4 linked regions of the Elephas maximus indicus genome follow. The protein of the gene in region 3 purifies or fractionates together with the protein of the main gene of each other region. This does not show direct contact. Links are inferred from orthologs where the notes say so. Each region holds a gene or a part of one and is shown on either strand. Other genes may lie near its edges. The genes, in order: CRCP, POLR3F, POLR3B and POLR3G.

What was found.
Region 1: the proteins of POLR3B (region 3) and CRCP purify together in Homo sapiens (affinity purification with mass spectrometry; 5 studies listed by BioGRID and IntAct, with this or other methods). This does not show direct contact. The link is inferred for Elephas maximus indicus from reciprocal best matches to the Homo sapiens genes POLR3B and CRCP.
Region 2: the proteins of POLR3B (region 3) and POLR3F fractionate together in Homo sapiens (co-fractionation; 4 studies listed by BioGRID and IntAct, with this or other methods). This does not show direct contact. The link is inferred for Elephas maximus indicus from reciprocal best matches to the Homo sapiens genes POLR3B and POLR3F.
Region 4: the proteins of POLR3B (region 3) and POLR3G fractionate together in Homo sapiens (co-fractionation; 4 studies listed by BioGRID and IntAct, with this or other methods). This does not show direct contact. The link is inferred for Elephas maximus indicus from reciprocal best matches to the Homo sapiens genes POLR3B and POLR3G.

What each region holds. Positions count from the first base shown.
Region 1 is NC_064830.1:103,355,660-103,363,681, forward strand, and holds the start of CRCP (DNA-directed RNA polymerase III subunit RPC9), read left to right. Parts: upstream 1-4,924; 5' UTR 4,925-5,034; coding exon 5,035-5,042; intron 5,043-8,022. UniProt on the Homo sapiens protein: DNA-dependent RNA polymerase catalyzes the transcription of DNA into RNA using the four ribonucleoside triphosphates as substrates.
Region 2 is NC_064843.1:59,142,222-59,149,634, forward strand, and holds the start of POLR3F (DNA-directed RNA polymerase III subunit RPC6), read left to right. Parts: upstream 1-4,326; 5' UTR 4,327-4,553; coding exon 4,554-4,615; exon of another isoform or gene 4,616-4,954; intron 4,955-5,595; coding exon 5,596-5,713; intron 5,714-7,413. Other genes in the region: DZANK1 (double zinc ribbon and ankyrin repeat-containing protein 1), read right to left, coding at 1-47, 2,160-2,268. UniProt on the Homo sapiens protein: DNA-dependent RNA polymerase catalyzes the transcription of DNA into RNA using the four ribonucleoside triphosphates as substrates.
Region 3 is NC_064822.1:173,470,290-173,477,761, reverse strand, and holds the start of POLR3B (DNA-directed RNA polymerase III subunit RPC2), read right to left. Parts: upstream 3,092-7,472; 5' UTR 2,907-3,091; coding exon 2,835-2,906; intron 1-2,834. UniProt on the Homo sapiens protein: Catalytic core component of RNA polymerase III (Pol III), a DNA-dependent RNA polymerase which synthesizes small non-coding RNAs using the four ribonucleoside triphosphates as substrates.
Region 4 is NC_064820.1:97,121,351-97,129,309, forward strand, and holds the start of POLR3G (DNA-directed RNA polymerase III subunit RPC7), read left to right. Parts: upstream 1-4,951; 5' UTR 4,952-5,105; intron 5,106-5,116; exon of another isoform or gene 5,117-5,780; 5' UTR 5,781-5,869; intron 5,870-7,959. Other genes in the region: acyl-coenzyme A thioesterase MBLAC2, read right to left, coding at 3,994-4,447. UniProt on the Homo sapiens protein: DNA-dependent RNA polymerase catalyzes the transcription of DNA into RNA using the four ribonucleoside triphosphates as substrates.

The sequences.
Region 1 (8,022 bases), on a different chromosome or scaffold from region 3:
CATTCAAAACTGGCTGCAGCAGTATATCGACAGGGAACTGCCAGAAACTCAGGCCAGTTTCAGAAGAGGACATGGAACCAGGGATATCATTGCTGATGTCAGATGGATCCTGGCTGAAAGCAGAGAATACCAGAAGGATGTTTACCTGTGTTTTATTGACTATGCAAAGGCATTTGACTGTGTGGATCATAACAAACTATGGATAACACTGCGAAGAATGGGAATTCCAGAACACTTAATTGTGCTCATGAGGAAACTTTACATAGATCAAGAGGCAGTTGTTCGGACAGAACAAGGGGATACTGAGTGGTTTAAAGTCAGGAAAGGTGTGCGTCAGGGTTGTATTCTTTCACCATACCTATTCAATCTGTATGCTGAGCAAATAATACGAGAAGCTCGACTATATGAAGAAGAACGGGGCATCAAGATTGGAGGAAGACTCCTTAACAACCTTCGTTATGCAGATGACACAACCTTGCTTGCTGAAAGTGAAGAGTACCTGAAGCACTTAGTAATGAAGATCAAAGACCACAGCCTTCCGTGTGGATTACACCTCAACATAAAGAAAACAAAAATCCTCGCGACTGGATCAATGAGCAACATCATGATAAACGGACAAAAGATTGAAGTTGTCAAGTATTTCGTTTTACTTGGATCCACAATCAACAGCCATGGAAGCAGCAGTCAAGAAATCAAAAGACGCGTTGCATTGGGCAAATCTGCTGCAAAGGACCTCTTTAAAGTGTTGAAGAGCAAAGATGTCACCCTGAAGACTAAGGTGCGCCTGTCCCAAGCCATGGTATTTTCAATCACATCATATGCATGTGAAAGCTGGACAATGAATAAGGAACACAGAAGAAGAGTTGACGCTTTTGAATTGTGGTGTTGGAGAAGAATATTGAATATGCCATGGACTGCCCAAAGAATGAACAAATCTGTCTTGGAAGAAGTGCAGCCAGAATGCTCCTTAGAGGCAAGGATGGCGAGACTGTGTCTTACATACTTTGGAGATGTAGTCAGGAGGGATCAGTCCCTGGAGAAGGACATCATGCTTGGCAGAGTACAGTGTCAGCGGAAAAGAGGAAGACCCCTTAACGAGGTGTTTTGACACAGTGGCTGGAACAATGAGCTCAAGCATAACAATGATTGTAAGGATGGCTCAGGACTGGGCAGTGTTTCGTTCTGTTGTGCGTAGGGTCACTATGAGTCGGAACCGACTCGATGGCACCTAACAACAACAACGTTAACGGAAGGAGCCCCGGTGGCGCAGTGGTTAAGTGCTTGGCTGCTAACTGAAAGGTGGCTGCTGTTCATTGTGGATCCAAGTAAAATGAAATCCTCAACAACGTCAGTATTTTCTCCATTTATCATGATGTTGCTTATTGGTCCAGTTGTGAGGATTTTGTCTTCTTTATGTTGAGATGTAAGCCACACTGAAGCCTGTAGTCTTTCTTTTTTTTTTAATTGTAGTTTAAGTGAAAGTTTTCAGCTCAAGTTAGTTTCTCATACAAAAATTTATACACATTATTATTGACCCTAGTTGCTCTCCCTGTAATGTGACAGGACACTCCTCTTTTCCACCCTGTATTCTCGTGTCCATTCAACCAGCTCCTGTCCCTTTCTGCCTTCTCACCTCTCCTACGGAAAGGAGCTGCCCATTTTGTCTCATGTACCCACTTGAAATAAGAAGCACACTCTTCACGAGTATCATTTCATGTCTCATAGTCCAATTGAATCTTTGTCTGAAGAGTTGGCTTTGGGAATGGTTTTAGTTCTGGATTGACAAAGCATCCAGGGGCCATGTCTTCTGGGGTTCGTCCAGGCTTAGTCAGACCACTAAGTCTGGTCTTTTTACTAGAATTTGAGTTCTGCACTCCACTTTTCTCCTGTTCCGTTAGGGACTCTGTTGTGTTCCCTGTCAGGGCCATCGTTGGTGGTAGCCAGGCACCAACTAGTTCTTCTGGTCTCAGGCTGATGGAGTCTGTAGTTTATGTGGCCCTTTTTGTCTCTTGGGCTAGTATTTTCCTTGTGTCTTTGGTGTTATGCACTCTCCTTTGCTCCAGGTGGGTTGGGACCCATTGACGCATCTTAGATGGGCACTCGGTAGGTTTTAAGATCACAGATACTACTTACCAAAGTGGAATGCAGAATATTTTCTTGAAGACTGTAGTCTTTGATCTTCATCAGTAAGTGCTTCAAGTCCTCTTCATTTTCAGTAAGCAAGGTTGTATTATCTGCGTATCGCAGGTTGTTAATGAGCCTTTCTCTAATCCTGATGCCCCGTTATTCTTCATATAGTCCAGCTTCTCAGATTATTTGCTTAGCGTATAGATTGAATAAGGATGGTGAAAGGATACAACCCTGACGCATACGTTTCCTGACTTTAAACCACGCAGTATCTCCTTGTTCTTTTTGAACAACTGCCTCTTGATCCATGTACTGATTCCTCATAGGCACTATAAAGTGTTCTGGAATTCCCATTCTCCGCAATGTTATCCATAGTTTGTTAAGATCCACACAGTCGAATGCCTTTGTATAGTCAATAAAACATGGGTAAACATCTTCCTGGTGTTCTCTGCTTTCAACCAGGATCCATCTGACATCGGCAATGATATCCCTGGTTCCATGTCCTCTTCTGAATCTGGCTTGAATTTCTGGCAGTTCCCTGTTGATGTATCACATCACATACCGTACAATTCACCGACTTAAAGTGGAAAATTCAATGCTTTTAGTATATTCACTGAGTTGTGTAGCCATCACCACAATTCAATTTTGAAACATTTTCAACCCCCTAAAAGAAACCCCATGCCCATTAGCTGCCACTGTCTAATTCCCCTCCTCACCCCCAGCCATAAGCAACTCCTAATTTACTTTCCATCTTTCTTGGTTATCTAGTGCTGCTATAACAGAAATACCACGAGTGAGTATCTTTAACAAAGAGAGATTTATTCTCTCACAGTTTAGGAGGCTAGAAGTCTGAATTCATGGTGCCAGCTCCAGGGAAAGGCTTTCGCGCTCTGTCAACTCTAGGGGAAAGTCCTTGTCATCAATCTTCCCTGGTCTAAGAACTTCTCGGCACAGGAACCCCGGATCCAAAGGATGTGCTCTGCTCCTGGCACTACTTTCTTGATGCTATGAGGTCCCTCTGTCTTTCTGCTTTCTTCTCTCTCTTATATCTCAAAGAGAGTGACTCAAGATACAACCTAATCTTATAGATTGAGTCCTGCCTCATTAACATAACTGTCTCTAATCCTGCCTCATTAGTATCATAGAGGTAGGATTTACAACACATAGGAAAATCACATGAGATGACAAAATGCTGGACAATCACACAATACTGGGAAGTGGACACACATTTTGGGGGGACACAATTCGATCCATAACACTGTCTCTATAGATTTGACTATTTTGGACATTTCATAGAAATGACATCATACAATGACTTCTTTCCCTTAGCACAATGGTTTTGAGGGTCATTCACGTTATACCATGTGTCAGTAAGTACTTTATTCCAAATGGTATTATTTTATTGTATGAATATAGGACACTTTATCAATTCACCAGTCACTATTAACAATTTAATATGCCTCCTGTATTTGTTCAGATTGTGTGGTTTGAATCCCTACTGGACAAGTTTGGAGGTGAGAAACTTGGGTAAATAGTAATCTCTCCAAGCCTCTGCCTCAGTTTCCTCAATTGTAAAATGTGAATAATAATGAAACTGGGTTGGGTAGAGTGTCATGGGTGTACTTTTAAAATTTCTTGAGCTTTATATGGATTACCTAACAGATTTATGATTTACAGATTAGGTCATTGACGCTGGGAGAGGTTAAGTCCCCAAGGTCAAACATCCTCTAAGAAAGTTCTGGGGGTAAACAGGAACACGGGCTCTCTGACTGCAAAGCCCGCACCGTTAACTGGTAATTCCATGGAGTAACAAATTGTTTAGCAAGGGCCTTGCAAAGAGAATGAGCTTGAGAATCAATAAACGTGAAAGTATAAAAAAGGAACAAATCAGCAATTGACTCATCATCAGAAGGCACCTGCCATCATTAATATTTCAGATATTTCCTTCCAGTCTTTTAAAGAAATATTTCAAACATACGAAGATGATAATAGATATCCACCACAATCGCCATTTTTTTTAAAGTCATAAAATGTAATAAATCGGATAGCTCTACCTCCCATACCGTTAGGCATTTTTTTTTCCTATGCATAGAGGCACTCTGAAGATAGGCCTGGCAATCTACTTCTGAAAAATCAGCCGTTGAAAACTCTGTAGAGCACAGTTCTGCTCTGGCACAGGGGTCGTCACGAGTCAGAATCAAATTGACTGCAACTGCTTCGTTGGTTGGTTATTTTTCTGTAGATAATTAGAAGCACGCGTTGTTTTGTATGTTTTTCAATCCTACTTTGAGTATTTTCCTAGCATATCACATCTTTTACATGATTTTTCATGGCTGCATATATTGTATGGCTGTAACATAATTCAATCGATTCCCCATTATTGGGCATTTCGGTCATTTCCCAGCAAAAACATCACTACACATACATCTCTCTCTTTCAAGCATCTGATAATTCCCTTTGGAGAAATTCCCAGAAAGGCCCCACAGTCAGAGACTGTGGCTGGCTTTAAGGCTCTTCATATCTCTTGCCAGTAAACCCTCAAGGAAAAATGGGAACGGGTTGGGGGGGGGGGGGGCTGGGATTTTTTTTTTCCACTTTTAAAAAACATTTTATTCAATTGTAACACACGTACAGAAAACTGCACAGAAGTCTACGACTCCCTGAATTTTCAGACACTGAACGCATTCGCGTACCCAACACGCTGATTAAACAGATACTTTCCTGCTCCCTGAAGCCCCGCCCCATCACCGCCCCCTGAGGGCTCCCGGCGTGCAGCGCGGCGATCCCAGCATGCACCGCGACGCAGACCGGCGACAGGGGGTGCTCAGCGTGGAGAGCTGGAGTTGTGGCGGCTCAGGTTGAGGTTTTTAGTCACCTGGCGGCCGGAGGCGACGAGACGGGGACGACATGGAAGTGTAAGCCACCCGGGACGCGTTTTGGAGTCTGGAGCCGGCGCTAACAGCTAGGGGCGACTGGACCGTTGAAAGCCGAGAGACGGGAGGATGGGGCGACCCGTCGCATGGGGGAACCGCAGTCGGGGAGGGCCCGTGGGGTCCAGGTGGGCGCAGAAGAGAGAGACTCGTGCTTCCGTCCGAGCCTTTGTACCTGGGACACCGGGCCGAGCGCCCCTGGGCCCGGCTGCTTTTTCCTCTGTGCCTTCTCTCTGCCCCGTTCGTTTAAAAGCGTTTTCTGGGTCACAGTGGGAAACCCGGGCCGGTATCCGAGCGGGGACTCGGAGAGGAGTACACCCCTGGGAGTACCAGGAGGGGGGCGGAGAAGTGCTGGGATGGAAGTGCTCCTGCGGGCAGGAGGCCCCTGTGCCTTCCTAACTCGGGAGAGGTGCCATCCAAGTTTGACGAGCAGTTAGGGAGAGCGTGAGCCTCGACTGGAGAAACAGCCCTGTGTGGGGTTGTGTTTATTAAAAAAAATAAACAAAAAAACAAACCCATTGCTGTTGAGTGGATTCCGACTCATAGTGACCCTATAGGACAGGGTAGAACTGCCCCAAAGAGTTTACATCGAGCGCCTGGTGGATTCGAACTGCTGACCTTTTCGTTAATAGCCATAGCACTTGACCACCAGGCCACCAGGGTTTCTTGCGTGTTTACAGGACAGAGTAAAAGCTCTTCTAACAATTTAACTCGACGTTGTTTTTTCCATATTTGCCCATTGTACTACATGCAAATAGAAGTTTTTGTATCAACCCCGCGGATGGGTTTTTACGTGGTTGACGTTAACTTGAAGACATACCTATATTGTGTTCTCCGTAGCACTGATGGAAACCCTGGTGGCGTAGTGGTTAAGTGCTACGGCTGCTAACCAAGAGGTCGGCAGTTCCAATCCACCAGGCACTCCTTGCAAACTATGGAGCAGTTCTACTCTGTCCTGTAGGGTCGCTGTGAGTCGGAATTGACTCGATGGCAGTGGGTTTCGTTTGGGTTTTTGGTATAGCACTGATTATTTAATACACACATTTTATTTTGTGTTCTTTCATCTTATGTTTAATGGTTATATGCTGTGCAGACCTTTTTTTTTTTTAACCTTAACACATCTAAGCGTAATTGAAACAAAAGTTACATGAAACAATGTTTACTGTATGCAGTTCACTCTGATACTGTCTGTTCTGTTTCATTAAAAAGGATGTCCACATGACCTACTGTATTGATTTCACAACCCACAATGGGGTTCAATCTACACCTTGAAAAACACTAATTATGTATTATTCTGGTCCAAGCGGGCATCATCAATTTCTCCGTTTTTGCTAGAGCATTTCCTGTTAGCGTACAAACCTGTTTTAATTTATACATCTTGAAATACCTTGGAATAGTCCACTTTCAGGTCTCCACCTACTGCCTCATTTCTGCTTCCTGGCACAGCAGAACTTCTTGGAAGTGCTGTTTATCCTCACTCTCTAAGCCATTGAGTTGGACTTTCATCCTTTCCAGTGTGCAGAAGTGACTCTTGTGAAGATGACCTGAGTCTTCCTTCTGTCTTGTCAAATCCAAAGGTTGATTTTCTGGCTTCACCTTTCTTGATCTCTCAGCAGCAATTGCTATACTTACCTACTCATTTGTTCTGGAAACTCTTCATTGGCTTTATGGCATGCTCTCCTGGTTTTCGTCCTACATCAAGGACTACTACTCAGTCCTTTCCTGGAGCCACCTCTCCCTTGTTTGGTTCCTAAATGTTGAAGTTTCAGGGCTCAGTCCTGGGATGCATTCTCTCACACTCTCCCTTGGTCATCTTACCCACCTATATGCTGATTATTCTTAAAATTATGTTTCTAAGTTCTGTTCTCTCTCTTGAGCTCTAGGCTCCTGTTCTCTTCTACTTGCTTGACACCTCCACTTGGATGTCTAAAAGGCAACTCACACTTAGCAGTTTTAAAACAGAACTACTTATGCTCCCTTCCTGGTCCTTACCTAACCTAACCTGTATCTCAGTTATTAGGACCATTACCCATTCAATTGCTTAAACCAAAAATCTAGTCCCCTTTTCCTTCACCCCTAAATCCAGTCCATCATGGACTGTTACCTCCACCTTCAGAATACGTTTTGAATGTAGTTATTTTTCACCATCTCTGCTGCTAATTTTCTAGTCCTTCATCTCTTGTCTGGATTAAGCAACAGCATTTGGCTTCCCCTCTTGTCCACTTCCATTTCATTTGAAAGAACGATCTTAAAGTATTAGATTGTATCACCCCTTTTGTAAAACCCTTCATTTGCTTTCCATTGCACTTAGAGGAAATCCAAATTCCTTATTAGGATTACAGTGCAGTGAACTACTTAATATGGTCCGTTTAGGCATACTCTTTGTGATTCCCACACAATGATTGGGTGGGGCTATGCAAATAAGGTGCTTGTGGCCCACCAAGGGGATTGGGCAACTTGTAGCTAATGCAAATAAGGTACATGGCACCCTTGTGGGGATGGGGCCATGCAAATAACGTGTATGGAACCCTAATGAGGGGATTGGTCAGTTTTGCCATCCCATTAGGCTTAAAATGAGCTATCCCAGAGGCAGAAAAGGGAATCTCACTACTACCAAGAAAGAAAAGCTAGGAATGGAACTCATCCTTTGAACTCGGGATCCCTGCACTGAGAACCTCCTAGACCCAGGAGACAGAGAGCTGCAACACTGGAGATGGCAAGAGATGGCGGCAGCAGAACCAGGAGGCTGGCGCCAGAAGGCACAGTGAGCTTCTTGGCCCGTGGAGTAAGGCATTTGCGGCGGGTGTGCAGACACAGAGCCAGTGAGCTGAGCACCTTAAGACCAAAGCTTCCGGGCAGAGTAGGGTGTCTCTAGGAACTTATTGGCGGAGCTAGAGAACTTTGTAACACTTGCCCAAGCAGGGCAGAGGCCAGGCTGAGGGGCTGAAAGCCAGGGAGAGGCCTG
Region 2 (7,413 bases), on a different chromosome or scaffold from region 3:
AGGTTTGCTGCCATCCAGGGTATAATATATGTTGACATCTGGGGTGTCTGAAAAATATAAAACAGGATAACTGTAATTGGTTCAAAAGTAGCCAGTCCCTGAGGTATGCCTATACGTCAGTTATTTATGGAAAATTTATACATCTATTATTTATATTATAAAAATGAGTAACAATAATTAAATTCTTCCTCTATTCCATGCATTGTACTTTGTTATGTTTTATTTGGACTTGGTAAATGATTCCTACATTTTTTGGGGAAAAATTTTAAAGATAATAAATTCATATGATTCAAATGATATCTTGAGTATCCCCAAGTGCGCATCAGTATATATGTACATATTCTTACTTCTCACTCTCTTTTTACACCAATTGTGGCACACCACATCCTGTTCCACACACTTCATTTTTCATTTTAGATTATACCTTGGATATTGTTCTATATGGGCACATAAAGGGCCTCCTCATGCTTTTGTATGGCTGCACCATATTCTCTTGTATGAAAGAACTATAAATTAATCAACCCTCATTTAGGCTTTCTTTTTCTTTTCTTTCTTCTGGCCATTACAAGAATTATAACGAATATCCTTGTAAAGAGCTCCTTTTGTAAGCACAGCTGTAAAACAAATATGCGGAAGTAGTACTGCAGGGTCCAAAGATATGTGCATTTGCAACTTTGATTAATATCACCAAACTGCCCTCCACTGAGGAGGAAACAATTACATTCCCACGGGAAATGCATGGAAGTGCCTGCTTACCCACAGTCCACCCAAATAGTGTTATCGATTTTTCTTTTTACCAATCTCCTAGGCAAACAACAAAAAGTAGTATCTTGTAGTTTTAACTCACAATTCTCGTATATTGAGTAAGATTCATTCATTCATTCAACAAATATTTGCTGAGTACCTAGTATGTGCCAGGCACCGTTCTAGGAGAGACACACAAACAATAAACCAACAAACAATGCATACTGTCAGGCGGTGAATAAATGCTATGAAGGAAGGTAAGGGGGACAAGGTCTACTCAGAAAGCAGGTGAAGAGATGTGTAGAAGTATCTTTTCATATGCTTAAGAGGCACCTATATGTTCTTTCCTATAAAATGTCTTTTCACATCCTTTGCCCATTTTCCTATTGGGTTATTCTTCTTTTTGTTATTGAATTGTGGAAATGTTTTGTTTATTAGAACTTTTCAATATTAGAACATTTGGATACCTTATCATTCTTATCATCATTTATCAACAACCACTCCACTTCTCCTAAGACTTACATGCATATATATTGAAGTTTTATTTTTGCTTGAGAATTTTAAAAAATCACATTAGCCTTTGAAATAAAGCCGGACATAGTATAATGTAGCATATTGTTAACTGCAACTCTAGGTCTAGGAAGCACAGGGCTTATAACATAAATACAGATAAAAAGTTTTTATATGTTTCAGCTATTAAAATATACAGTTGGAATTTCGAAGACTTTTTAATAAGGGCATTCGTCCACGTTTTATCTATAAAACTTTCCCTTTTCCTTATGTTAATTGTTTGTGTGTGCGTGTGCAGAAAGAGCCTGAAGACTAAATATTACCAGGAAATATATTTGCCACTTTATTTCTATAATAATATTTAAGATTTATTTTGGCATCACTACGTGCCAGGCCTTGTGCATCTCACGTATATTTCAACTCATTTAATCTTCACAGCAGCTCTAACTGGTAGATGTCATTATCCATATCTTACAGGGAAGAAGCTGAGACTGAGAATGGCTAAGTAATGTGTCTAAGGTCATTAGAAACTGTCATGCCAGGGGTCAGTCCCCAACATGTCTAAATTGCAAGCAGGTCAAATTTATTATTCTAGCAAAATAATGGGCATCCTGGGAAAGTTTGGGGTTCGACTGGGACATCTTACCTTAGCTGAGGTAAGCTGAGGCATAGCTGCAACATGTACTTACCCCAAAGAAAGGTTGGTCAAAGCCAACTATTTTAATCTAAGTATACATGACTCTATTAGCTATCAAAATATCACACTGTTCCAAATTTTGGAAGATTTACAAATTTCCCAAGGTACTGACTATAGAGAGCATGCAAAGAAGTAAGTGAAGAACCAGGTAAGTGTAAAGAGTATGACAATGTTATTTTAAATGATTTCAAATACATTTGATTCCTACCCGATTTCATTTCCAAAAGTGTATTGTTATCAATTTCATGTTTGGCTTTTCCGGGCGGAGGCACTCGCAGTGGTATGATCTGAGGGACACACACTGAACCAGCAGTCATTTTTTTCCTTACTTTAAAAAAAGAAAGTGGATAAAAGTAAATTCCAACGTGTATCTATATTTGAACAAAAAAGTGGAAGAAAAGCACTTCATTTAGAGTGCAGCATAACTAGTAACAAAAAAAAAAAAGAGAGAGAGAGAGAGAGAAACAGAGACTACTGTTAATACAAATATTGAACCAGTTGCCATCAGGTCAATTCCAAACCATGGGGACCCAGTGTGTGTCAGGGTAGAACTGTGCTCTACAGAGTTTTCAGAAGTAGACCACCAGGCCCTTCTTTGTCGAACCACCAGTCTTCAGTTAGCAGCTGAGGGATTTAACCATGTCTCTCCTACAAATATTAGTCAATTTTCAATTGAAGTAGTTATTACGCTTCAGCTGTATTTTTGCTGTTGAAGTCTTGTGTGGAGCTTTGATTATCTGAACACTCACCTCACTTCTGGGAAAAGAACACGAATCAACAGGACCGAGGGATGCGCAAATTAAAGGAATCAGGCAGAACAGAGACCATCACTAATGATCTGCCCTGAGTTCCCACTTGATCATCATCACCTGTTCCAGCCTCCTGTAAGTGTACAACCTCTCTCAGCTTTGGGACGAGTCATCACAGCAGAGGAACAGAAATTAAATCTGTATGTAGCACGAAATGTTAATTTAGAACCAACTCCTTGGGAAAAGCCAGGTCTTTAGCGCTACAGTTGTCACCACAGTGGTTCTTGCACTTCAAAGCTGTAAGGAAACTTTAGAAGGACTGTAGAGTATAAGCTGAAAGGAACTTGGCATGGATATTAACGGTTACCAACAAACACAATCTTCCATTCCGTCTATTGTACTAGCTACAAATATGGAAGCCTTACTGATCTTTTTCCTAGGGGAAAGTGTCATAATTTTTAAAAAATGAGGTTTCAGAAGATAAAACCAATCTCCATATCACAGCAACCATCTACAGCTATGCAATGCCTTCTGAAAATTCAATGATTGTGGCTACATCCAGATTACTTGATTATAATTTATATATTCGATTATAATCTATATATTCATTCAATTTTTACAGCCCACTTCTTGCACCCTCAGTTGATTATTCAGTTTTCTGTGTCCTTATGTAAACTTATTTATCAATTTGTGGTTAGGCATTTAGGCTATTTTTAGTTGCTTTTTACTTCTGGTGGTTGCGGAAGCTGCTCTGAATATCTTTGTAGCCCAAGTTTTGACACAGGCTCTATTACCAAAAGTGGGATAAATAAATTTAAGGGTGAACTTAATGCTCCAGGTTGGAGGCCAAGAATTTAAACCGCAGATATTGACAGCAGAGTAATAGTCCCTACAGAAGTGCTGCAGGGCTTGCGGGGCTTGCCCATCACCATATTTCCATTCAAGTAAGATGCAGTTAAAATAAAAATAGTTGAGAAATCAGTTCAAAATACAACTAGTTCGAGAGGAAGTCATTCGCGTGCCGCCACAGCAGCTGCCCTTGGGAGGCTGGGGCGCCCAGCAGGCCCCACGTGAAAGAGACCCAAAAGGACGCCGACCAGCGAAACCCAAACAGCAGCGCTGAGTCAACAGCACCCAACACCCAACTCCCTCGCCGCCCGGATCCAGTACCCTGCAAGGTCCCCGCCCCCGTCCGTCAGCTGCAGCCGAGGACGCCCGCATCCTTTCGGCGGGAGTGAGGAAGGTCCTCCTGCTCCTCCTCCTCCTCGGGCCACCCAGCCCCCGTTCGGGCCCCACCGAGGGACCTCCACCGCCCCCAGCCCGTCTCTGCTCTCTCACCTCCTCGCTCCCGCTCCGCGGCGGCGACCCGGGTTACCACCGACGCCGCAAGCCGCGCCCCGCCCACTGAGAGCGAGGCAGGTGATTGGCGGAAAGCTCGCTCCCTAGTAACCAGCTCCGCCCCCGCAGCGGGGCCTCCACGGGGTGCGCCCCTCCCGCGCCTTTGCCGGGGCTTTACTTAGGCGTCCGGGTATATGCCTTCACGGAGGCTGGAAAGTGCTAAAAGCTGATGTCGCCACGTAGAATGGAGGAACCAGTCTCGTTCGTCCGACAGGCATGACCATTCGGTAAAGCAAGCAGAGCGTAACAAACGTAGAGGCGCCGGCGAGCGAGGCGGCGCAGGCGTGACTTGGCCGCCTAAAGCCGACCGACGAGCAAGGACTGGCTGCGACACGAGGAAGAAGGCCCCTTGTCCCCCGGCGGGGAGCTGTCCACCGTCGGTCCCCGGGTTCGTGGGCGTTTTCTTCGGCGACTCAGTGCTCGTCTTCCCCGCACGGGCCCGGATCTGCTCCCTCATGGCTGAGGTGAAGGTGAAGGTGCAGCCGCCCGACGCGGATCCGGTCGAAATAGAAAACAGGTAAAGCAAGTCTAGGTTCCGGGATCCATGAGCACACGTGAAGGGGCTTGCGGGGGTCTGGACCCTCCCCTCCCGCCCCGGATACCAGAACTCTTAAGTTCAAAACGAGCTTGACAGCTTGCAACTCTGTGTAGCTGACTTTGCCCTGATGCTGTTTGCGAAGTTGGGATGATGCCTTCCTTCCTACGTTACGGTGATCAGTGCCAGAAAGGACACCCTCTGGGTTCGGCTGTAATGCTTGGGGATACGTGCACCGATCCAGGATCTGTCTTGTCACTAAGGGAACTCCCGGAGCAGAACGTTCGAGCGCAGCGAGGGCTGCACTTTGTGATTACTTCGGTGCGTTATTGAACTTAAGATCTCAGGACACCTAAAGTCTGTCCTAGTTTTACATTCTCTGGCAGCGCACTGCTGTTTTTAGATTTTATAGTTTCATAAGACCCTCAACTTTCCCAAACGGTTATATATAACACAGATGTGATGAGCCTGTGATGAAGTTAAGATTTGGGTTTACGTTTGTTTGGTAAGGATAATCCCCCAAATAGTTCACAGTTATGGTACGATGCCATAACAAGTTTTGGCTTCCCACCACAAGTGTCTGGAGTTGCCTTCTCTTTACAGGCTTATGGCTATCGAATGCACTACAACTTAATTTTGTCACAGTTATTCCATCTGAGAAAATTGAAGCCTCAGCTTTTTTTTCCCCCCGTGTTTTCATTTAACTTTCATTCTATTTTAAAGTTGAAATAAGTGAGGGAAAGAAGTACTCCCCTTAAACAACAACAATAATGTAAATGTGTATTTAGAAAGCATGTGTCTGAATTTCTTACATGATTTGATTTGGAATCATTATAGAAACAGATTATCTGCCAAAAGTGGGAAAAAAAAAAGGACAATTTCAAACCATCCTGCTTGTATTTCCCCTCCTGCCTCTTGAAACAGGCAAACATGCATAATATCATTAACGCCTTTGTTCCTAGGATTATAGAGTTATGTCACCAGTTCCCTCATGGAATCACAGACCAAGTAATTCAGAATGAAATGCCTCATATAGAAGCCCAGCAGCGGGCAGTGGCCATCAATAGACTGTTGTCCATGGTAAGATGAATTCAAACTCATGCATGTAATTACTTACCTGTCATGGTTGTCAATACTTCCTGTTATGTAGCCATAAAATCAGAAGGTGTGTTCGGTTGTAACTGATACAACTACAAACCGTAAAACAGCACAGGCTACCTAAAGTGAGGGAAGAAGAAATTATAGGTTATTTTTTGGGGAGGGGTTACAAGAGGAATGAAAATAAGTAGTACTTTGTTATTTTTTTTTTAACTATTGTATTTTTTAATCTAATCGTCACTAAGGTACATAAGGACGTGAAAGCATAATAGTCTGTGCTCACCTTCTGTCTGCTTCTTACTCCTATTGTTGGGCCCTTCCTTCCAGCTTTCACAGAGCCAGTTCATCAGGGTATCAATCTTACCCTGGGCATTTCAGGAAACAGAAATGAGCCCAGTTGCATCTCAGTAGTCTTGAGCCTTTGGAAAGAAGTGCTGCCTCAGGCTCCAGTGAGGTAGCAGAGGGTTGTTTCAGTAAAGCCCTTCTCCCTGCCCTTACCTCTTTTTCTGTCCTCCTTAAGAACCTGGGACCCTAATGCTGCTCTCCTCCAACTGTCCAGAATCACCCCACCTACTAGTACCCAGTGCTCTAAGTCTACCTGTTTCTTCTCCCATTTTTCTATCATCAAAACTCCCATTTCCTGCGAGCATTTTTATTGGATTTTTAAGGACTGTGGATATGGAGACAGGTGAGCCTTCTGTTAAATCAGTCCCTTCAACCTTCTACTTCAAGGGTGGACAAACTTTTTCTGTAAAGTGCCAGACAGTAAATATTTTAAACTCTGTGGGCCGTGTGGTTTCTGTCACAACTACTGATTCTATGGTTTTAGCAAGTAGCCATGGATAAATCATAAACAAATGCATATGGCAGTATCCCAGTTAAACTGTAATTACAAGTTCTAGCCCAAGGGAAGAGGAATGTTGGTATTTTTAGTCAATTCTCCATGAAGGTCTTCAGCTCCAGGAAAGGTAGAGGGAGAGCTTCTGGGAGGTTGTGGCAGTGGATGGGGGCTGCAGAGATGGCGAAAGACAGGAAGGTGCTAAGGATCATTCTCAGGAAGGAAAGAGCTGAGAGGGTGATCAAAGGACAAAAAGAACATTTCCCACTGCCACAACCTCCTCTAATTTCACAAGGGGGAAGGAGAATCAAGGTGTTGAGCCCAAGGCTGATTCTTATGAGGCAGAGGTCAGACATGTCTTCTGTCTCTGCCATCTTTGCCAATTGTGATACCAACTGTCCCTCCCACAGCACTTTTTACTTCTCTGCTGAGTTCAACAATTCATTGCGGTGGCCCACAGAACTCACAGATAATACTCAAAATTATGGGGTTTATTAAGGAAGTAACAGGTTACAATTCAGGTTCAGGAATGCTCAGAATACAGTTCTTTCATCAGGACAACGTTTTCTTAGCCATGCCCACAGGCACGCCTCTCTCTGGCCCCTCGGCCTCTGTTCTGCTCAGGCAAATGTTACAAAGCTCTTTTAGCTCTGCAGATAAGTGCACAAAGGCACCGCACTCTACCAGTAAGCCTCGGTCCAAAATCACTAGCTTCACTAAGTACCCAGAGGCACTCAGCTTTCTTGCTCCATGAGCTAGGAAGCCCACCATGCCTTCTCTTGCTGGCCTTCTGCTGCTGCCGTTTCTCTGCCACCACTTCTCGCCATCTTCAGTGTTACAGCTT
Region 3 (7,472 bases):
ACTAGTCTGTGCCAAGAAATTTGGAGGACAGCCACCTGGCCAACCAACTGGAAGAGATCCATATGTGTACCCATTCCAAGGAAAGGTAATCCAACTGAATGCAGAAATTATCAAACAATATCATTAATATCACACACAGGTAAAATTTGCTGAAGATCATCAAAAGCAGTTGCAGCAGTACACCAACAGGGAACTGCCAGAAATTCAGGTCAGATTCAGAAGAGGATGTGAAACAAGGGGTATCATTGCTTATGTTAGATGGATCATGGTTGAAAGCAGAGAATACCAGAAAGATGTTTTCCTGAGTATGCAAAGGCACTCAACTGTGTGGATCAGAACAAATTATGAACAACATTTCGAAGAATAGGAATTCCTGAACACTTAATTGTGCTCATGATGAACACGTACTTAGACGAAGAGGCAGTCGTTCAAACAGAACAAGGAGATACCGATTGGTTTAAAGTCAGGAAAGTTGTGTGTCAGGGTTGTATCCTTTCACCATACTTATTCAATCTGTATGCTGAGCAAATAACCCAAGATATTGACGGCATCAGGATTGGAGGAAGATTCATTAACCACCTGTGTTATGCAGATGACACAACCTTGCTTGCTCAAAGTGAAGAGGACTTAACGCACTTACTGATGAGGATCAGACTATAGCCTTCACCATGGATTACACCTCAACATAAAGAAAATGAAAACCCTCACAATTGGACCAATAAGCAACATCATGATAAACAGAAAATACTGAAGTAGTTAAGGATTTCATTTTACTTAGATCCACAATCAACGCCCATGGATGCAGCAGTCAAGTAATCAAAGGACACATTGCATCGGGCAAATACACTGCAAGAGACCTGTTGAAAGTGTTAAAAAGCAAAGATGCCACTTTAAGGACTAAGGTGCGCCTGACCCAAGCCACAGTGTTTTCGATCACCTCACATGCATGTGAAGCTGGACAATGAATAAAAAAGATCAAAGAATCGCTGCCTTTCAATTGCGGTGTTGGGGAAGAATATCAAATATACCATGGACTGCCAAAAGAATGAACAAATCTGTCTTGGAAGAAGTACAGCCAGAATGCTCATTAGAAGCGAGGATGGCAAGACTTCACCTCACATACTTTGGACATGTTGTCAGGATGGACCAGACTCTGGAGAAAGACACCGTGCTTGGTAGAATAGAGGGTCAACAAAAAAGTGGAAGACCCTCAATGAGATGGACTGACACAGTTACTGTAACAATGGGCTCAAGCATAATGATGATCACGAAGACGGTACAGAGCTGGGCAGTGTTTCGTTCTGTTATACACAGGGTCGCTGAGTCAGAACTGATCGACAGCACCTAACAACAACAGGCCTCCTTCTTCAGCTATCTGGTGAAGTCATCCAGTCAGTAGTTAAGGAGGAAGACTCTGGAGTCAGACTTCCTGAGTCCAAATTCTGGATCAATCACCTACCAGATTCTGACACTAGGCTAGTTACTTAACTTTTCTGGGCCTCAAAACCTCATTGGCAAGATCGGGGTGAAAACTACTTATTTCCAAGGATTAAACAGCATAATACATGTTATGCTTAAACAATGCCTAGCACATAGTAAGTGCTCAGTAAATGCTATTAATACTAACTCTTCAAGAGTTAAAATCCAGCATTGCCTGGTGATCAGCAGTGTAAGGCGGGCATTCATAGACTGAATTTGATTGACTTCACAGAGTTGCCAAATGATTACAAGGAGGTTCTTACAATCTAATACATTAGTTGTTCATTTCACTCTCCTACTTAAACTCTTCAATCGCATCTCACTGCCCCCAGGAGAATGTTCAAGCTCCTTCATATGTTTAACAAAGGCTTTCATAATGGCGCTCATTACCTACCCATCTTTCATTTCTTTAAAAAAAAAAAGTTGTCAGTCAATTCCGACTTATAGCAACCCTATAAGACAGAACGGAACTGCCCCACGGGGTTTCCAAGGCTGAAATCTTTAAGGAGGGCAGACAGCTATATCTTTCTCCCAGTGGGTTCGAACTGCCAACCTTTCAGTTAGCAGCCGAGCGTTTAACCACTGCTCCACCAGCGCATCTCTGCTCCTGTCTTTTTCTTCATAAACATCGGATGGTCTTGCCTACAAGGGTTCAAGTATTCTCTCTACCTGAAATCTCTCCCCTATCTTCTCCAGCCTCATTTCTCCACCTTCCCATTCCATACCAACCAGATATAATACGCGCCTTTCCAGATAATAAAACTATTTCAGTAGCTGAACTTCACTAGGCAGCTCACTGCAGGCCGGTTACCCTCAACTTCTGAGAATCTGATCAAAGTTACGGAGCTTCTCCCCAGAAAAACAAACGCACACATAGGCAAAAATCTGGATTAATTTTCGGGGCGTTTAAAATATCTCAGTAGCCCACATTTGAACTCCTGGCTAAAAGGAAAGATCCCCAGCCCGAGACTGACAGGATTTGGTTTTACTGCTACAACGAGCTCGGAACCTAAGCTCCTCGGGGCCCTGGCTCCTTCTCCATGAGGCTGGGGAGGTGTAATACGTCCCCCCGCGTGGGTGCAAAGGCCAATCCTCCCAGACACACGAACAGTGCCCGGGAAGGGGTCCACCTCAGGGCCCCCGCGAGCCTTCCCAGGCCCCACAGCGGCGGACGACTCGTCCCGGCTCAGCCCTTCCACGTGCACGCGGCGGCCGCGACGCGAAAGAACCCGGACGCGCGGACCCGTGAGCATGCGCAGTAGCCGCTGGTGGCCCTCTGCGGCGAGAGCTCTCGGGGCAACGCCCCCTGAGGACGCGTCCCGGTCCCTTCCGCTCCCCGCGTGCCCGGGGCTCACCTCCACCGTCGGGATCGGAGCTGCTAGCTGCTCCGGGGTCAGGTTCCCAAACTCCTCCGCTAGCACGTCCATCCTGCCCACTCTGCTCACGATGAAGGAAGCAGCAGACAGAACCCTCACGCCCGGCTTCGCTGCCCCAAGCAAATTGCAGCATCCGTGGAGAGCTGTGCGCGGAGACCTAAATCATCCCGCCGGGCAGGTTTATCAGGCACACAACGGAAAGGTTCCGTCTGCTGCCTGCCCGAACCTCTGCGGAAACCCGGATGTGGCTGAGGCGGAGCCGGAGAACTGCGCCCTCTGGTGTAGCTCGGAGGTCTTGCCGGGGTAATCCCAACCCCCTGCCAAAGAATTCATACCAAAACCAGCCCAAACCCTTTGCGACTCACAGCGACCCTATAGGACAGAGTAGATCTGCCCCATACGGTTTCCAAGGAGCCCCTGGCGGATTCGAACTGCGGACCTTTTGGTTAGCAGAAATAGCTCTTAACCAGTATGCTACCAGGTTTTCCAAAGAGCTCATAGCCAATTAAAATAATTGAAGCCAGTAAGACGTGTTGGTTGTAATTTTTAAAATAATTCCAGGAAAATTGTGAACGGATAATTTGCGCATCTTAGGCCAACGAGGCAGAAAATGTATTTAATTCAATCTGAAACTGTATACATTTTATGAAAAAATAGGAAACTTCCCAAACGCCTCATAAGGGATTAAAGTATGGCACGTGCATGTAATTTATTATATAACCACCGAAATGACCTTGAAGGGAGGAGGAATGAACACACTAGAGAGTAACACCACAGTGATAAGTATTCTCAAAGGACTAGACAGAAGACCCAGCAATAAATACAGTATGAAAAAAATGGCTTATTCAATAAATGATGTTGGAACAAATGATTATCCTTTAGGGAAAAAAAATACGTCTAAGTAAATCCTACTGGATTAAGTATTTAAATGTTAGCAAAACTTTAGAAGAAAATACAGGTGAATATATTCATACCATTGAGGTGGTGAACAGGTGCTGACAAGGTGGCAACACAATCAGAAATCATGAACGAAAATCATGGTAGAGTTTAGCATAAGAGATCATTCTAAACATGATTTTTTAATTTCATGAAAAATTTAAAATTGTCTGTACAAATGTTTAAAAAATCATCATGAATACAGATTTTTAAAAACAAGTTGGCAGAAGACAAAAATTGGTATTCCTAATTTACAATGTTGTCGGTGTTAGGTGCTGTGGAATCAATTTCCACTCATAGCGACACCACGTGACAAAGTAGAACTGCTCCTTAAAGTTTTCTCAGTTGTACTTTACAGAGGCAAATCACTAGGTCTTTCTCCTGCGAAGCCAGAGCTGTTGGATGGGTTCAAATTGCCAACCTTTTGGATAGCAGCCAAGTGCTTAACTGCTGTGTCCTTTAATTTACACTTGGCTCATACAAATCAATAGGGGGAAAAAAATCACAGGGGAAAAACTAGGCAAAAGATACTAACAAGCAAATGGCTAATATGAAAATATATTCAACCTCATAATGCAAATGGAAACAAAATAAATCATTTTTCATCCACCAAATTGGTACAGATAAGATTTACATTATCAAGTGTTATCCAGAAAGTAGACTAACAGGCTCTCTCTTACATTGCTGGAGGGAGAGTATGTTGTTACTGTAATGCTACAATCTTTCTAGAGGTATATATGTATTTTTTCCTTTGACCCAGCAATTCCACTTACAGGTATTTATTCTAAGGAGATTACTGAAAATCTGTACAAACATGTATGTACAAGATCGTCCAACTGAAGCATTTTTTATAAAAGCAGAATACAAGAAACAACCTAGATGTCAGCTGAGTAGCTGATATGATGATGCATTGATACACTGCAATGATAAACATCCATTGAAGTAATTGCAGAAATCTCTGTTTTTGACATAGATGGCCACACCTGTTGATAAGTGAGAATGGAGAAAAAACATGTTACATGAATAATGTCCCACCTATGTACATTACATGCATTCGTCAGTGCAGAGGGTTAAAGGGAATGATTGTAACTGGTTATCCCTGGTTGGTGTGATTTGCTATTCTTTACCGTTTCCAGTATTGTTTAAATGTTTTACAGAAAATGTGTAATTTTTATCATTGAAATAAAGCTATTTTCCTTTTTGTGGGGGGAAATCAGCAACCACTGCCGTTTAAAAAAAAAGATGCAAAAAATTTTAATACATGGAAAAATTATCAATAGAATGGCAAGTGAAAAATACAGTAAAAATTATAGATGTACATGATGAACTCAAGTTAGTAATTTTATAATATGGATGTTCAACACGTATTTATTGATTTCTACTAAGTTCAAGGCACTTTGATAGGAACAGAAAAAAAATATTGGGAGTAAACACATCAAAATATTAATACAGGTTATCTATCACTGGCAGCTTCAGGGCTGATTCTATTTATTATTTTCTTTTTTGCATTTTTGTATATTGTCAACATTTTATATATATTTTTTTAATCAGGAAAAAAAAATTAGAGGATATAAAAAATATACCTGGCTAAAAAAATCCAGGTAACTCATACTGAAGTATGTAATTTTGATCAAAACTAAATATATAGTCTAATAATGTGCATTTTTTTCTTCTTGAAACACACGTTATTTGTACAAAACCGGTTCTGCCTGAATAAATCTTAAGGGCATTTCAACCAGTCATTTATCCACAAACATGTGGGAAGACAAAAATAAATTTAATGTAACGTGACGTCTGGTAGTATACATATAGCGGATAATCTCGAAGCTCAAACCCCAGTGTGCCAAACAGAGGTACAACTTTATTTTTCTACAGCTGACCCTAATTTCTACTTTCAGCCCTCCTCCCCCTGAGTAGGCAGAAACACGATCTCCTCTAATTTGGGGTCCCATCTAAGTTCCAGCGGGTTTTCATAGGATGAGGGCATGAGGAAGGGCAGGTCTATTTTCTTTCACGTCATCTATAATGATGGCATCTGCTGAGGTGCCGGTCATCAGTGCTCAGTCATCACTCTACACGTTGCCTTCTGTCATTTCCACACCACACTTGCGTGCTTAGCAAGACCTCAGCCCTGACTAAAGCCAACCCTGTGCCTGCTCCACGTCTGCACCTATGCAAGTGAATGAGGAGGGAGCAATGCAACCATGTTGAACTGGTTTCACTTTAAATTCATGCCAACTAATTTCATGTAGGAGTCCCTGGCTGGTACAATCAGTTTGACTACTAACCAAAAGGTTGGAGGTTCGAGTCCACCCTGAGGTGCTTTGGAAGAAAAGCCTGGCAATCCGTTTCGGAAAAATCAGCCAATGAAAACCCTATGGAGCACAGTTCTACTACGACACACAGAGGGTCCCCATGAGGCAGAATCAACTCTATGGCAACTGGTTAATGGTTAACATCATGTAGACCCCTAATGCTGCTGTACAGTCACATAGTCTCTCTAGTCCATTCTCCACTTCACCTAGACTTGCCTTAAACCTTCCCTGTCCTCCCTCTCAAGGACCCTGCTGGCACAGTGGTTAAGAGCTCAGCTGGTAACTAAAAGGTGGGTGGTTTGATCCATAGGAGAAAGCTGTGGCAGTCTGCTTCCATAAAGATTTGTTGTTGTTGTTAGGTGTCATTGAGTCAGTTCCAACTCATAGTGACCCCATGTACAATAGAACAAAATACTGCCCAGCCCTGTGCCATCCTCACAATCGTTGTTATGCTTGAGCCCATTGTTGCAACCACTATGTCAGTCCATCTCGTTGAGGGTTTTCCTCTTTTTCACTGGCACTCTACCAATTACGATGTCCTTCTCTAGGGACTGGCCCTTCCTGATAACATGTTCAAAGTATGTGAGAAAAAGTCTTGCTATCCTTGCTTCCAAAAAACATTCTGGCTGTACTTCTCCCAAGACAGATTTGCTCATTCTTCTTGTAGTCTATGGTATATTCAACATTCTCTGCCAACACAATAATTCGAAACCATCAATTCTTCAGTCTTCCTTATTCACTGTCCAGCTTTCTCATGCATATGAGGCAATTGAAAATATCACGGCTTGGGTCAGGTGCGCTTTAGTCCTCAAAGTGATATCTTTGCTTTTCAACACTTTTAAGAAGTCTTTTGTAGATTTGTCCAATGCAATGTGTCATCTGATTTCTTGAGTGCTGCTTCCACGGGCGTAGATTGTGGATCCAAGTAAAATGAAATCTGTAAAGATTCCAGCCTTGGAAACCCCATGGGGGCAGTTCTACTTTGTCCTGTCAAATCAACTCAATGGCAATGGGTTTGGTTTTTTATGCTCCCTCTTTTACTTCACTAAGAAAATAGAAGGAATTAGAAGAGAACTTCTGAAAATGCCTTCCAAAAGTGACCCACCTAAAAGTGTGTATCCGCGTGCTCTTCCTTCCTTCCTGTTACTGCGGTGAACTGTCTGTGCCCTTGTCCCCCCAGCTCCGTGATCCCTTCTGTCCCACTCAATCACCCCCTCCAGCCTGTCTCTCACCTTCCTGCAACAACCAATTTTCCTTCTATACTTGATATTTCCCAAACCATGCAAGCATGTTGATATTTCTCCCATTTTAAAAAACAATTACCTTGATGCTGTTTCTCCCTTCAACTACTGTTCAATTTCTATCT
Region 4 (7,959 bases), on a different chromosome or scaffold from region 3:
AGAAACCCCACTGTTTGACTATCTTCAGAAAAGAAACTGGGTGGGGAATGGACATTCACTTAGGGGGAGGGAATCTAGCGTTTTAACAACTTCTTAAACGTCTTTCAACCAATTCTACTTATTTTAGTGTCCTTCCCTTTGCCTCAACTCAGCTACCTGGTACTGCAACTTCCTGATTTTTTGGGGCCTTTTTGGACTGGCTTTTGATTTCTCCTCGATAAAACTGCTAACTCACATCTGCTTTCTAGCATCCAAAATAGTTCTCTCGGTCAGTGTGGATTTATACTTAAAACAAGCCAAGTAAACAAAACACAGTTCCTTTATTAATGGTTGGTGGGATGTGGGAGGGAGCCAAATTAGATGTGCATTCTGGAATCTGTATTTTTTGTTTTTAACCTTCCAAAATCACCAATGAAAACCCCATGGATTACACTGGTTTGATCCACAACCAATTATGGAAATGACGTAGGACCAGGCAGTGTTTAGTTCCATTGCACATGGGGTCACCGTGAGTTGGGGCCAACTAAATGGCTGCTAACAACAAGTGATTTAAATCTACCGAGAACCACTCTCTAACACACAGAATATTTACAATTATTCTAATGTTGGTCTAGACAGTGTCTTGGTGACTCTGGGTAAATTGCATAGGCACATGAAACAGACAAAAACGCCTAGACTCTTCATGTCACTTTAATATTGTAAAAAATAGGTAAAATGATGTGTGCTCATTCAAGAGTGTGCCGTATAAGTCTAAGGTATATTGCTATTTTTTTTAGGAAGATACTAGTTCACTACTGTCATGGATTTAATTACGTCCACCCAAAAACGTGTGTATCAACTTGGTTAGGCCATGATTCCCAGTATCATGTAGCTGTCCTCCATTTTGCAACTGTAATTTTATGTTAAGAGGATTAGGGTGGGATTGTAACACCACTCTTACTCAGGTCACTTCCCTGATCCAATATAAAGGGAGTTTCCCTGGGGTGTGGGCTGTACCACCTTTTATGTCTAAGAGATAAAAGGAAAGAGAGCAAGCAGAGAGTTGGGGACCTCATACCATCAAGAAAGTAGCACCAGGAGCAAAGCACATCATTTGGGACCCGGGGTACCTGCGCCTGAGAAGTTCCTCGACCATGGGAAAATTGAGGACAAGGACCTTCTTTCAGAGCTGACAGGGAAAGGATGCCTTCCCCTGGAGCTAACGCCTTGAATTTAGACTTTTAGCCTACTTTACTGTGAGGAAATAAATTTCTCTTTGTTAAAGCCATCCACTTGTGGTATTTCTGTTATGGCAGCACTAGTTGACTAAGACAACTACTAACAAGGTGAGTTGTTTTTCTGACAAAAATAACGACTTTAGTGATATGGCTATTTTCTCCCTCGTACTCCTTGTAGCTACCTCGTTTACGAGACAACTTTTGGATCAGTGATACAGAATACAGATTTATCATTCCCCACGACAAACAGTGCACTAAATGAAAAGTAATTAAGGAAAAAAAAAAATGAATTCCATCTCCTTGTATTCTAACCAAAGCAATGAAGACCTTATCTTAAGAGCTCTTTGAGTACGAGTATGTAACTGTGTATGAACTTTTAATATAAATGTTTTATATCTCCTTCTAGGCATGTGGAGTCTGTTAATAACAAGTTAGCAGACCACATCATTTAGAAGATACAGGAAAGTAATATCCTAAGAAGAGAGGAAATCAGGTACTGCTTGAGAGGGTGAGGAAACCCTGGTGGCATAATGGTTAAGGGCTACGGCTGCTAACCAAAAGGTCAGCAGTTCGAATCCACCAGGCACTCCTTGGAAACTCTATGGGACAATTCTACTCTGTCCTGTAGGGTCACTATGAGTCAGAATCAACTCAATGGCAATGGGGGAGGAGTGTGTCAGAGAGTGAGGCTTCTGACTCCCAAAGAAAAACAACTTTTGATAACACAGTATTATCGTCTTGAAAGCGTTCGGTAAATATTAAGCTTTCTTTCACACTTTAAAAAGGCTTAAAGTGTCACACAAGTAGCTTGCAGTCTCTTTACACCTCCAAAACACTGATTATACCACGTACTGGGATTTTAGGTTCTAATGGGAACTAGGTTCTAGTTCCAACTCTTTCCCAAACTGGCTATGTGATCTCAGGCACAATAGTCAGGCCTGTTTTAAACTCTCTCTTCCTCTATAGGGGCCCTGGTGGCACAGTGGTTAAGAGCTCAGCTGCTAACTAAAAGGTCAACAGTTTGAATCTGCTAGCCGCTGCTTGGAAACCACATGGGGCAGCTCTATTCTGTCCTAGAGGGTTGCTATGACTCAGAACCATCTGGATGGCAACAGATTTTCTTCATCTATAAAACAATAATCCCTATCATTTTTTTATCCTTGATTTCCCATTGCTGGCATAGGATCAAAAGTAATCTTCAGAACAATTCAAATATATTTTAATACTAATGTAAATATTTTTTGTTGTGAGTGCCAGAACTGAGTCTGCATACCCATCAACTGTGCCGAAATCTTACCTCTGAAAGTATTAATTATATCGAGAAATACAAGAACCAAAAGTAAATTTAATGTAAATGTATTTCTCCTGTGCCTCATAATGTCAGGTAACATAAGATTCCCCCATCTAAATCAGTTCTTCGATGAAAAAACTTTTTAGTGGGGGAATGAGATGTTAATTTTCCTTTCTATTTTTTTAGCATCTGAGATGATCAAAACCCTGTCCATAAGATAAACTGGTTTTTGTGTTATTTCATTTTTTGTGATATTGTTTGGTCATAAAATGAGCTTTAGTACCTTACTGTACTTCAGCAGCTGGATTTTTTCTACCTCACACACCAAAACACCAAACCTGCTACTGTCAAGTTTATTTCGACTCATTAGTAACGATGGTGTCAAAGTGAAAAGAAAAGGTTTCGCATCCTACTCAGAATTATAATATTTCTGTGGTAGGATTTATGTATGTTCTGCACGCTTTCATCTATTGTACCTTGGTTCAAATCCTAGCTTTTGTCACTATTTTGTTTTGTGGATCTTAGGCAAGTCATTTTATTGGATGCCAGTGTTTTTCACTTCGAATATGTTAAGGATAAAATGAGATTAAAAAAAAAGTATTTAAAAATAAAAAAGGAAATTAATATGCCAGATATTGCTCCTGTGGCCAATTACCTCAAGTATTTAATTCCTGAGGGTGGGAACAGGTTGGGGCCTTACTGTGTTTTATTCCATGAGTTTTTCTCTGAATCCTATTCCGTCCTTCACAGAGCCAAAGAGAACTAGGACTATCTATGCATTAGGCTACATACTCCACCACCACCAGAAGCAATCTCCTTATTAATCCTTCTCGAATTTTGCTTTCGACCACAACAGATATCTATCTTAACACAAGACTCAAAGCATATTCTACCCTTATGTTTACAATCAAGCTTTTTCTCTAGTGAGGCAACAGCAAGATTAGAAATCTGGAAGGTAGGGTTGCATGATCAGATTGGAACCTCTGCACTCTGACAGCTTTCTAAGCCTACAGGTGGAAATTGCTCGTACTAGGTGGTGACCGAACAGATAAAGTCAGCGTTTCTCAAAAGCATAGAGCATGACACGCACTTTGTGAGGTGTCATTCGTTGGAAGTCTTCTAGCTACAAAAACACCCAGAAATGTCAGAAAGGTGCCTGGAAAAGGAATGGGAAAGCCTCAGTCACAAGTCCCCGTAGTCTTACCACTATTCATGACACAAGAAACTGACTAGGGGGTGGGATCGGTTTTCACCGCCCTTCTAGGAACCGCTTCAAGGGGCCAAAGCTGGTCTCAGGTAGGGAAGACTGTGATTGCCGTGGCTCTGGAAAGGTGGGCATTTACTCGGGGAAAGCTAAAACAGAAATGGCGTTTCTGTGGTGTGCTAAAACGAGCCCCCATTACAGCCATGCAGGTCTGCAACATGCATCCCTCGGACATCCCCTCTCTCAATTAGACAGCGCGCGCCCATGGGGGGACTCATTACCATCCTGCAGGATGAGGGTGGGCTGCACCGCCTGCACTCGGAACTGCCTGGCCCTCCAGCCAGGGCTGGGCGCTCGCACCACTTCGCTGTCGGACAGCCATGTCACCGTTTCAAAGTTGTCCCCGCGAGCCAGAGCCTCGGCCTCAGCGTGGTGCACAGCTACCCGGTCAAACTGGTAGAGGCCGCCGGAGTGGTCGAAGTGCACGTGTGTGGCCACCGCTAGCAGAGGCCGGCGTTCTGCTTCGTCCTTGGCCCCGCGGTCCTGCAGGAGGCCGGAGGAATACAGGTATTCAGGAAGACTGCGCAGCCCCAAGCCGGTGTCGATCACCACGTCCTGCTCCGAGCCGCGCACTAGCCAGATGTTGGCCCGGTTGCCCGACTCGTAGAAGCGTTCCTGAATCCAGAAGATACCGTCGCCCAGGGACTTGTGGGCATACCACTCGAGCGCCGACATCCTGGGCAGGGGTGCGGCCGGGCGAGGTAGGTGTGGGCGTGTGTACCTCCTGCACTGTGGCCAGACCCGCGACTCTGCGGCGGTTGTGGCGCTGTCTGCCCGCAGCCTGGGAGCAGGCGCAGAGCGAGGGGCGGAGGATGCAGGGAGGTGCAGGGGGAGAGGTAGGAGGAGGTGGGGCCCCTCCCGCCAGGTCAGCAGAGCGCGGGGGCAGCACTAGCCGCACTCGGGCGCAGGAGCAGTAGTAGCCTGTGCAACCGCAGCACGGGAGCCACTGCACAAGAGATACTTTCCCCACCCCGGGGGGTCTGACTGCAGAGACTGAGCTGTGGGAGGCTGCACCAGGCCTGTCCACCCCCAACGCGTCTCAATGCTCACTCTCATGCGGCACGGAGTCAGGCCAACCGGTTAGACGGCGACTACGGCGCCTGCCAAGGGCTAAAAAACTCTTGGCTCAGGGGGTGGGGCTTAGCTAAGGGGTGGGCGGGGCTAGTTGGTTGGAATCCTAACGCGGTTCCGGGGCCGCGTGGAGGGCGGAGCGCGCTTTTGCTAAAGTGGTACCAGCGGCCCGAAGGTTCGGCGCCCTCTGCTCGCACCCTTTCTTTGCCGGCCGGCACTTCTGCTGCATAGTTTTGCCAAAGCCACGAGCCTTAGTGACCAGGTAACGAAGCAAGCAATCGGGGCCTTTGGGCGAGCGTGAGGACCATAGTGGGGAGTTAAAGGGGCACGTGGAGTGGATGGGGGTAGTCAGGAGTACAGATTCTTTAAAGAGCCCTTGCTTTGAGGCGCATTGGGAGATAGCTTTACCTGTCCTTTTCCTACTCCCCTAAAAATCACATGAAATCGTCGTTTCCATATCTTACCTGGCCTGCATTTCCTGGGACTGTTTGCAGTGAGTTAGAAGGGAATTTGTTTTTATTAGTGGGAGGAGATGTACCAGATCCTGGGATTTGGCATATAATTTTTTTAGGCACTAGTCATTGCCGCAGACTTACAGCTGAGGACAGTGTTTTAACTGTTGATACTTTACCCCGTATCGTGGGACTCATAATAAGGTTTTTCTTTTCTAAAAAACGAAATTCTATATTTTTTCTCTCCCTCCTTTTATTTTATTTTTTGGCTAGTTTATCGGCACTTGGAAGAGAGCAGAGAAAGTTAGTATAAAGGTTCGATTAAGGAAAGGTGGAGGCAGCTTGTGAGGAAGGAAAAAGCATCTATTAACAGGGTGTGGCCTGCGAGCCACACAAATCACCTCCACTGTTCATGCCTGATCCCTATCCTATACCTCCCCACCCCCTGCACCCCGTCCTCCTCCAGCTATTAAACGTTCGTTTAGGCTTCAAAATTCCCGTGAGAACTTGACTGACCTCCCCATTCGGCAGCAGAAAAAAGTATTAAGGGACCCATGAGACAGCATTATAAAAGGTAATTATGAAAACCTTTTTGGCAACTGTACTAATAAGCCTCATGGAAAGAGAGGTTTACTCTCTTGCTTACCTTGTGAAGGTGCTTGGTGGGATGTGGCCTTTATGAAGATTTTGTTAATCAAGTTAGAGATTTATCCAGTCGCTCCTTTGGGGGCATTCATTTTGTTGTTGTGAAGAGAGTAAAACATACACCCATTCACCCGTTTCTACATGTACAATTAAGTGACATTATTACATTCTTCAAGTTGTGCAACCATTCTAACCGTCCTTTTCTGAGTTGTTCCTCCTCCATTAACATAAACTAACTGCCCTCTAACGTTGTTGTTGCTTTGATCCGGTATAGATCTTAAAAGAGCATAATGCTCAAGGCAGACATTTTTGACTAAGGTAAACTATTGTTTGGTTTTACGAAGATTTCAGGGGATATTTTTGGTTTAAGTTTTAAAATTATCTCAGGACAGTAGTTTTAGGGGTTCATCCAGCCCCTTTGGGGGCATTCTTATGTGTAAGTCCCTGAGCTAGATTCTGTGTGAAGAACAGAATTGTGTAAGAAAGATATGATCTGGGTACTTAAGAATTTGAGGGATGATGATATCAATATACAAATATTTGCAATACAATGCAGTGTGTGATATTTACCACAAAAAAACCCAAACCCATTGCCATGGAGTCAATTCTGACTCATAGAGACCTTAGTACAGGGTAGAACTGCCCCACAGTGTTTCTAGGCTGTGATTTTTTTTTTTTTTTTAATTTTTAATGTGCTTTAAGTGGAAGTTTACAAACCAAGCCAGTCTCTCATACAAAAATTTATATACCACTGCCGTCCTAGTTGCTCTCCCTCTAATGAGACAGCACAGTCCTTCCCTCTAGTCTCTATTTTCGTGTCCATTTGGCCAGATTCTGACCCCCCGTGCCCTCTCAACTCTTTTCCAGACAGGAGCTGCCCACATAGTCTCATGAGTCTACTTGAGCCAAGAAGCTCACTCTTCACCAGTATCATTTTCTGTTCCACAGTCCAGTCCAATCCCTATCTGAAGAGTTGGCTTTGGGAATGGTTCCTGTCTTGGGCTAACAGAAGGTCTGGGGACCATGACCTCTGGGGTCCTTCTAGTCTCAGATGGACCATTAAGCCTGGTGTTTTTATGAGTATTTGAGGTCTGCATCCCACTGCTCTCCTGCTCCCTCAGGGATTGACTGTTGTGTTCCCTGTCAGGGCAGTCATCGGTTGTAGCCAGGCACCATCTAGTTCTTCTGGTCTGAGGCTGATGTAGTCTCTGGTTTATGTGGCCCTTTCTGTCTCTTGGGCTCATAATTACCTTGTGTCTTTGGCGTTCTTCATTCTCCTTTGATCCAGGTGGGTTGAGAACAATTGATGCATCTTAGATGGCCGCTTGCTAGCTTTTAAGACCCCAGACACCACTCTCCAAAGTGGGATACCGAGTGTTTTCTTAATAGATTTTATTATGCCAATTGACTTAGATGTCCCCTGAAACCATGGTCCCCAAACCCCTGCCCCTGCTACACTGGCCTTCGAAGCATTCAGTTTATTAGGAAACTTATTTGTTTTTGGTTTAGTCCAATTGTGCTGACCTCTCCTGTATTGTGTGTTGTCTTAACGTAGGCCGTAAGTTTTACGGAAGAGATTAACACGTTTCTCTCATGGAGATGCTGGTGGGTTTGAACTGCTGATCATTTGGTTAGCAGTGGAGCGCTTAACCACAGCGCCCCCAGGGCTCCTTATATGTACCACAAACCTAACCCTGTTGCCGTCAAGTCAATTCTGATTCATAGCAACCCTAAAGGACAGAGTAGAACTGCCACATAGGGTTTCCAAGGAGCTCCAGGTGAATTCGAACTGCTGACCATTTGGTTAGCAGCCGTAGCTCTTAACCACTACACCACCAGAGTTTCCTATATGTACTACAGAGGAAGTAAAATTGAGGTGCTATAAGAGTACAGATGGAAGGGATTGTTGAGGAATGACATTGTTGAGAAGCTGCCTTAAAAGACAGTTATGTGTTAGGATATTCTTGGCAGGGAAATACAGTGCTTACTATAGTTTGGATATTTTTCCTCTAGGAAGTG